2 linked regions of the Canis lupus familiaris genome follow. The protein of the gene in region 1 interacts with the protein of each later gene in a biochemical or structural test. Links are inferred from orthologs where the notes say so. Each region holds a gene or a part of one and is shown on either strand. Other genes may lie near its edges.

Region 1 (3,814 bases):
TATATAAAAACCCGTAGCTTTCCTCTAAATCAGCAATAAATAGTTGGACAAATGTCATTTGTATCTTCTAACATTTCTGATTTGTATTTTATTGAAATACAAATTGAAAGAACATAAAAGACCTATTTAATACCTGTTCCTGAGGGAGAGCATTCTTCCCAACACCCCAGCATAATCTTGGTTTTTTTGTGTAGTTGAAGTGTGGTTGACATACATGTTGCATTAGTTTCAGGTGCACTGTAGTGATCACACAGCTGTGTGTTGTTTGTGCTGTGCTCACTGCAAGAGTAGCTCCCATCTGTCACCGTAGGATGCTAGTGCAGGACCATAGACTCGTTCCCTGTGCCCTCTTTGATCCTTGTGACCTAGTCCTTCCATAGCTGGAAGCCTTAATTTGTGGAGTGTGACAAGCTATAAGCTTGTTTTAAAATTTATATGGAAGGGAAAATGCACAAATTTTGGAGAGAAGGGCAGGAACACAAACAGGTTTGTTCTAATATCAAACCATACTATGAAGCTACAATAATTAAACCAGTCTAGTAACAGTAACTGTAGAGAAAACAAATGCACACATATTTTGGAGATTTAGTATGTCCTAAAGGTGGAGTTACCAATTAGTGAGTTGAAGGATGCACTGTCAGTAAATAATGCAGAGAAAAGTGGCTGTCAGTTGGATAAATTATGATTTTGCTAACATAAATGGCAAAATGAAGAGTACAGCTGTCTCCCACTATCTGAACAGTTATCCGGACATATCCTCCAGTTAGATGTGTTGGACTTAAGTGATATTTTTTATTCTCATTAATCTGAATGCTGAAAGTGTGCCTGGTCTAAGATACAGTCCAAAAGCCATCAAAGAAAAGATGGGTATGTTTGCTTTATATCAAAATTTAATATAACATGTCCATTTGATGAATACATTTATATGAAAAAAGCCTAATGATTCTGTTTTCTAATGAATTACTGGGCTGGAGAGTGGGAAGAAATGCTTTCTGTGACTCCTTTTCTTACAGATTTTTGTTTCCCCCTTCGTTTCTGTCTCTCAGATCCAGGTGCAGTGAAGTCTGTGTTCAGCTTCTTGAACAGCAGTGCTTCCACTTCGAGCGCACCAGCAACATCAGCCCCCGGGGGCATATTTGGTAGCTCCACCTCCTCCTCCAGCGCGCCTGTGGCTGCCTTCGTGTTTGGACAGGCCAGCAATCCTGTGAGCAGCTCTGCCTTTGGGAACTCTGCCGAATCCAGCGCATCTCAGCCTTTGCTGTTCTCTCAAGAGAGCAAACCAGCAACCACGTCCAGCACAGGCCCAGCTGTCACACCATTTGTCTTTGGTCCTGGAGCCAGCAGTAATAGCACCGCCACCTCTGGCTTCAGTTTTGGAGCTACAACCACCTCCAGCTCTGCAGGTACTTTGACAGAAGAACAACATACGTGTTGTAGTTGGACTGGCTTGAATTATATCCTCTCTTAGCAAATAGCGTAGCAGGTTTTCACAGAATGGCCTGGGTGCCGTTAGGTCCTCTTTACTCAGGATGTTGTAACTGTTCACTGCATGGAATCCTGTATAGTTTGTATTCGGTTTAATAGAATTAAGTCTTGGGAAGAATTTTTCTAGTCTCAATAAGAATGTCATGTTGGTTTTTTCCACTGTTCTTTTTGAAATGTTATGTTGTTAAGTAACCAGAAACTGGGGGACCGTTCCGTTAGACAAAAGTCCTCATTCTGTAGTATATACAGGATGACAACGTTAGTTGGTTTCTGCTCTTTATTAGATATCTGATGAGTTATCGCCTGTTGTCTTAGATGGGCCCTCTACCTAAAAAAAAGTTTGGCTGTGGATGTGGGTTTGTTAATAGGTAGATGATTTTGTGTATGTGCATTCTGTCTGTATGGTTTCACTAAATAATGGCAAGAACTGTATTCTTAATTATTTATTGAAAACTTGCCTTGATGGGATTTGTACAGGTAGGTAAGTGTATGAAAAGAAGCTTGAAGTTTGCCGCTGAAGGTATAGATGTTTCTTGAGAATTATCTCCTAGTAGCTATTAAGGTGACATCAGTGTTTCTCTGGGCCTCTAGGATCCTCCTTTGTATTTGGCACTGGACCTTCAGCACCATCTGCCAGTCCAGCATTTGGTGTTAACCAAACCCCGACATTTGGACAAAGTCAAGGTGCCAGCCAGCCTAATCCCCCAGGCTTTGGAGCTCTGTCCTCTTCAGCAGCGTTGTTTTCTGCTGGTTCTCAGCCTGCACCACCTACTTTTGGGACCGTGTCCAGCAGCAGCCAGCCTTCTGTGTTTGGACAACAGCCCGGTCAGTCTGCATTTGGCTCTGCAACAGCTCCGAGTTCCGGTGAGTGTGTGCTGGTCACATGGCTTGTGTCTGTACTTAGGATCTGTGTGTCTTAAATAGGATGGTTTTTGAATTTTGAAACCAGGCTTATGTCTTTTTTCTTTAAATGTCTCTTGTACTTGGCGAAATAGAAAAATAGATGTTTGGACATTGCTGTAAACAACATTCTCAACTTTTATATAATGAAGCACACTATAAGGTATTAAAGCATGTGATTTGGCATGCCTGGGGGCTCAGTTGATTGTATTCTTTAGGCTCAGGTCATGATCCCAGAGTGTTGGGATCAAGCCTCACACTGGGCTCCCTGCTCAGCTGGGAGCCTGTTTCTCCTTCTCCCGCTCTCCCTGCTTGTGCTCTCTTTCTGTCAAATAAATTAAAAAAATACATTCTTTAAAAATGTAGTTATTTCTTACTCTTTGATTTCTTACTCTTTGTAGTTATTTCTTACTCTTTGATTTACATTCTTTAAAAATGTAGTTATTTCTTACTCTTTGAAATTTTTATTATTCAAGTATTGATGACACACCATGTTGTATTAGTTTCAACAGCATTGATCAGTCCTGTTTCTCCCCATCTGATTTTTGGAGCATTCCAGCCTAGTTTTAGCCATATTTTCTAATCCAACACTCCACTGTGATTGGATTTACTTCAGAAGGTTATACCTCCACTCCAGTTTTCTCCTGGGACAGAATAGCCCAAGCACCCAGGATGCTTTCTGTTTGATGATACTTGCATATTTAAACAAACATTCCTCTGTGGTTTTTTTTGTTTTGTTGTTTTTTGTTTTTAATATGGCTGCTCACATTGTACTATGATGATATAGTTCCTCAGAATTGCACGATGTTAATTTTTCTAACTGAAATATGACTTCATGTAGAAAAGCATGAAACATAAAGGAACAGTGTGGTGTTGAAGCAGATGCTTGGATGGCCAGCAGCCCCTCCTGGGTCCCTGTGTGATCACACACCTCTCTCTCCTTGCTCTCATGTGTCCTGGCTTTTATAGTGATCACTTTCCTGGGGTTTTAATTTAAAATTAACTGCTGATACATGAATCTCTACAAAATACCATATTGTCTTATTTTTAATTCTATATAAATGGAATCTCACTGTATTAAGTCTCTTGATTTCTTGCATCTTTCACTCTTAACTTGTAAAGTTGATCCATGTTATTACATATAGTTTGTTCTCCTTCACTGTGTTAGTCAATCTGTTTATGAACATATCACAATTTATCCATATACTGTTCACGAATGTGTTTGAGTTGTTTTTACCTTTTAGGAAATGTACCTCTGCTCATTCTTGGGTATGTGTCTTGGGGCATATTTTTCTAGGGTATATACACCCAAGAGAGGGACTGCCAGATTAAAAGGTGTGCATGCATATCCAATACTGCAGAAAATAACGCAAGCTTGTCCTGACGGATTGTACCCATTTACATCCTACTGCGTTGTATGAGGATTCTC
Region 2 (4,282 bases), on another chromosome or scaffold:
AGGAACAACCACTGAGTGGTCTTCAGCTGCTCTTCCACAAAGGCAAACGGGGTGGGATAAAGTTGATGGAAATTAAAGTGTCTTAAAAAAAAAAAAAATCTGGGGCAGCCCGGGTGGCTCAGCGGTTCAGCGCCGCCTTCAGCCCAGGGTGTGATCCTGGAGACCCAGGATTGAGTCCCACGTCAGGCTCCCTGCATGGAGCTTGCTTCTCCCTCTGCCTCTGTCTCTGCCCTTCTCTCTCTCTCTCTCAGTGTCTCTTATGAATAAATGAATAAAATCTTAAAAAAAAAAAAGCCTGTGGTCTTTCTAACCCTGTTCTCAAACTTTTGTTTTGGAGAATGAAAGAAAGGGGCCAACATCCACAATTTAGGATTTGCTTCCAGAGTGGTGATAGCCACCGGTGGGTAGCTGGTAGTTCTGGAGCTCTGGGCGGTGACTTGCACCAGAATTCCAGAACACTTTACTCAGCAAAGGACGAGGCTGTCAATGGGGAGTGCCTGGGTTAAAGTTCGAGCAAACCTGGAAGTCTGGCCTCAACTCAATCGTAGGTAAGGGTCAAGTTTGCAGTCAGGGATGGGTTTGTGGGGCTTGAAAAGAAGGATTCCACGACTGTTTGGAAGAGGGGACCCGAATTTCTAGTCACTATGCAGGGTGGGACTTTTTCTCTTGTTGATAATTAACCAGAAGTGTGACCTCTAGGTAACAGAGAGAGAACTAATGGGCACTCCCTGCCAGCCCAGGGGAGGACTCTCCTGAGGTCTCCGCGCAGCCTTAAATTCCGTCCTTCCCTACTCCTCCCCAAGGTGTGGTTTTCCTTTCTCTGGCGCCTACCGCACTTTGCACACAATTATCCTGTAATTTGTAATCACGTCTCTTCCAGGGGACTCACCTCAAGGGCCACGCCACTAGTTAGCCTGATGATTTTTGGCAAATCACTTAATCGTTCTATGCTTGATTTCCTCGTTTATTAAAAATGGGCACAAGACTCCTCCCCATCGCCTGGGGGTGCTGGGATAAATGAAGGTGACCACGCCTGCGGAAAAACTAGACGTAAGGTGCATGCAAACTAAAGGGCGGTCAGCAGGGTAAATACTTGTTCATGGACCTGACCTACCTTTATTCCGTGCCCTCAACAGACGCTTACTGAGCACCTCCTCGGTTGCAGGCCTCGGGAGCGCTCCCCCCGGGTGCGGAAGCCTCACGTGCGGCGCGTGGGCCTTGTCCCGCGGGCGGACTCGCGATTGGCTCCGCCGAAGAGAAAACCCCGCCCACAGTCTTTGCGAGCTCGTTAGCGATTGGACCGGCGTCTCCGGCACGCATTCCGGTTGCTAGGTTCGGGAGGAGCGGGGGCGAGGGTGGGGCTGCGCGTGCGCAGACTGAGGACGAAGATGCTTTCCGGTCGGGCGGGAGGAGGTGACGTCAGGCGTGGTGGCAGGCGGGGATGGGGGGGGGCGTCCTGTAGCCCTCAGGACGTTTTATCTGTGGGCCCTCCGATCGCGTCACAAGTGGGCGACTGAGCCTTGGCGGTGGTGGCCGAGGCGGCGAAGGCGGCAGCGGCGGCGACAGCTCTGGGGTTTGCGTCTCGGGGTGTGTCGGCCGCCGCTGCTGCTTGGGCCTGGTATGTACAAATGGCTGGTTAGGATTCTCGGCACCATTTTCCGTCTCTGTGACCGGCCGGTGCCCCCTGCCCGGGCCCTCCTGAAGAGGCGGCGCTCGAACAGGTGAGAGGAGAGGGGGCCGAGCGCCAGGCTGGCTGTACCCCCTCCCCCACCCGGGGCTCGGCCCGGAGAGCGCCGATCCAGCCCCGCAGGCCCTGCCCGGCCGAATCAGCTGGCGGGGCCCAGGCGGTGGAGGTGCGAGTCGCGGGTGCCCTGGTGACGTAGTCGCTCCCTCCACGCTGTGCGGATGCGCTCCTGGTGATGGACCGAGCTGGTTGTCTTTGGAGTGGCCCGTGATGGTCAGGATCTTTGACGTTCTTGGGAGAGGCCAAGCTGGTTGCTGTCCAGTGGGGCTTTATCGTATCCTGTTAAGGTTGAAAACTCAAAATTGAACGAATACTGTCCGTGCTGTGGTTCACTGTTTACGAAGCACACTCCCGAGTGTCATCTGTAGGCAATAAGTGCAGCTGCGGCAAGTGAGATTCATAGCTTGCCCAAAGCCGTTTTGACTGCAAGAATTGTTCTTTTAGCACCGAGAAACAGCAGCTGTTTTGTTCCGAAACAGCTGTCAAGCTGTGTGTGTGTGTGTACGTGTTTTGCGGGGGAGGGAGGGAGGATGGCACTACGTTGGAGTGTATGAGGGGGAAAAATTAGGAGTCTCGTTCTTTTAAAAAGATCACTAGTTGTAAAATCCAGCCAAAATCTTGGGGGAACCTAAAAGCTGTTCTTGTTTAGCATCAACCCCTTGGCTTGTCTCATTTCGTGGCGTGTACTCCTTTGCTTGAGAATTAATCTAGAGAATAAAACACCATACCAGTTCTACACACCCCACCATTAACTTTTACTGATCAAGTGTTAGTTTCATTTAAAAAAAGAAATGAAGCCTCAAGATTGTTGAAGACTGGTTTCTTGGAGCTTGAGAGAACAAGATGATTGAATACATGAGTCTGAGAATGCAGGTCATTGATGAAATTGGCTGTTGGCTGAGTTTCATCATGTGTTCTAGAGAGCCCAAGGTTTCAACCTGTTCTTTTCTACCTTTTTGTGAGGTTGACAATGGGGGTCATTTGACAACATGTTGTATAGTGCCTAAAATGATGCTTAATATATATAAGGGTAGTATTTGTTTATTCTACCCCAGGGGCCTTGTGCTAAGGCTGGTGCATGATAGGCACTTGGTACGTATTTATTGAATGGGAGAGTGTTAATTCTCTCTCCCCTGTCCTTTCTTTTTGCTGTGAATCCCTGCTTTCAAATAGATGAAACAATGATTTGGAGATCAAAACTCTGTTCTTTACCACACATCCTTAGTCAAACCAGTTTTTCACAATGTAAGCCTTTTTTTTTTTTTTTTTTTTCTGGTCAAAATGAAGGCAGGAGATCTTACTGGGATGTTTACAGTTATGAACTGAATGGTATTCCCCTGGGATTTATTTTGTTCCTTTTTTTTTTTTTGAAACTGATCAATCATAATCATCTTTAAATAGGTCCAGAAACTTTCCCAAATTCCCCAGCTTTTTATTACCAGTGTAATGTAGTTTCCATGATAGAAATGCAGTTAAATAGAAGACCTTTTTGGGCTTAGAATTCTCTTTTAAGGCTTCTTATGTTGTCATCTTTCAAAAGGAATTTTTTTTAAAGATTTTATTTATTTATTCATGAGAGAGACAGAGAGAGAGGCAGAGACACAGGCAGAGGGAGAAGCAGGCTCCATGCAGGGAGCCCGATGTGGGACTCGATCCGGGGACTCCAGGATCACGCCCTGGGCCGAAGGCAGGTGTAAACTGCTGAGCCACCCGGGCTGCCCCAAGGAAATTGTTATTTTAAAATCACTTCTGGAGAGAAAAAGGAAATACTAGTCCTAGGCTCTTACCTATGTTCATTTACTACCCAGGTGATTTCTGGCCAGTTGCAAATTTGTACTTTAGCCAGATTACAGATTATCACTTAATAGGGAGTTTTGGGTCTCTTTCAAATAGTTTAAACAATAACGTTAAGTCCTCAAATAGTAGAGGCCTACTATAGAGGAGTGTTTTCTAACATGATTTGAATTTCTTTTTTTGACAAAGTGAAGAGAGAGGATGTGTTATATGCATACTAGATTTACTTATAGAAATGTATGTATGTATATATAAATATATATATATATATTTTTTCTTCTTCTCTTTTCAGCACTTTGTTTTCTACAGTGGACACTGATGAAATACCAGCCAAAAGACCAAGATTAGGTATTGAATATGATAATTTTAAAAATCAGATTTTTTTTAAGTGGGAAAAGTGTATGTATGGAACAAAATTCCAAAGGTAAAAAGTATGTACAGTGAACAGTTAAGTCTCTTTCCTGTCCTTTTCTACTCAGTTATCTTTTCTAGAGGTAAACACTGTTAACAGGGACTTGAGTATCTTTCCAGATAAATAAAGGTGTATGTTGAATATGTATTTAAAATTTTTCAATCTTCCTATACGGAAAAGGTGCTTTTTATTTTTGAGGAGAAAACATTGTATAAAGCTACTTCAAACTGAGTCATCTAGTTCACATAGCTGAGGGAATGAGTCTAATGTGTTGCCCCAAATCATTTACTTCTCTGTATCCAGAGGGCTAGATGTAGCTTGATAAAAGAGAA

What was found.
Region 2: the proteins of NUP153 (region 1) and SENP2 form a complex in vitro, tested with the Homo sapiens proteins (2 studies listed by BioGRID). The link is inferred for Canis lupus familiaris from reciprocal best matches to the Homo sapiens genes NUP153 and SENP2.

The regions. Positions count from the first base shown.
Region 1 is NC_049256.1:17,831,583-17,835,396, reverse strand, and holds part of NUP153 (nuclear pore complex protein Nup153), read left to right. Parts: intron 1-1,046; coding exon 1,047-1,403; intron 1,404-2,076; coding exon 2,077-2,349; intron 2,350-3,814. UniProt on the Homo sapiens protein: Component of the nuclear pore complex (NPC), a complex required for the trafficking across the nuclear envelope. Functions as a scaffolding element in the nuclear phase of the NPC essential for normal nucleocytoplasmic transport of proteins and mRNAs.
Region 2 is NC_049255.1:18,494,734-18,499,015, forward strand, and holds the start of SENP2 (sentrin-specific protease 2), read left to right. Parts: upstream 1-1,432; 5' UTR 1,433-1,620; coding exon 1,621-1,721; intron 1,722-3,830; coding exon 3,831-3,886; intron 3,887-4,282. UniProt on the Homo sapiens protein: Protease that catalyzes two essential functions in the SUMO pathway.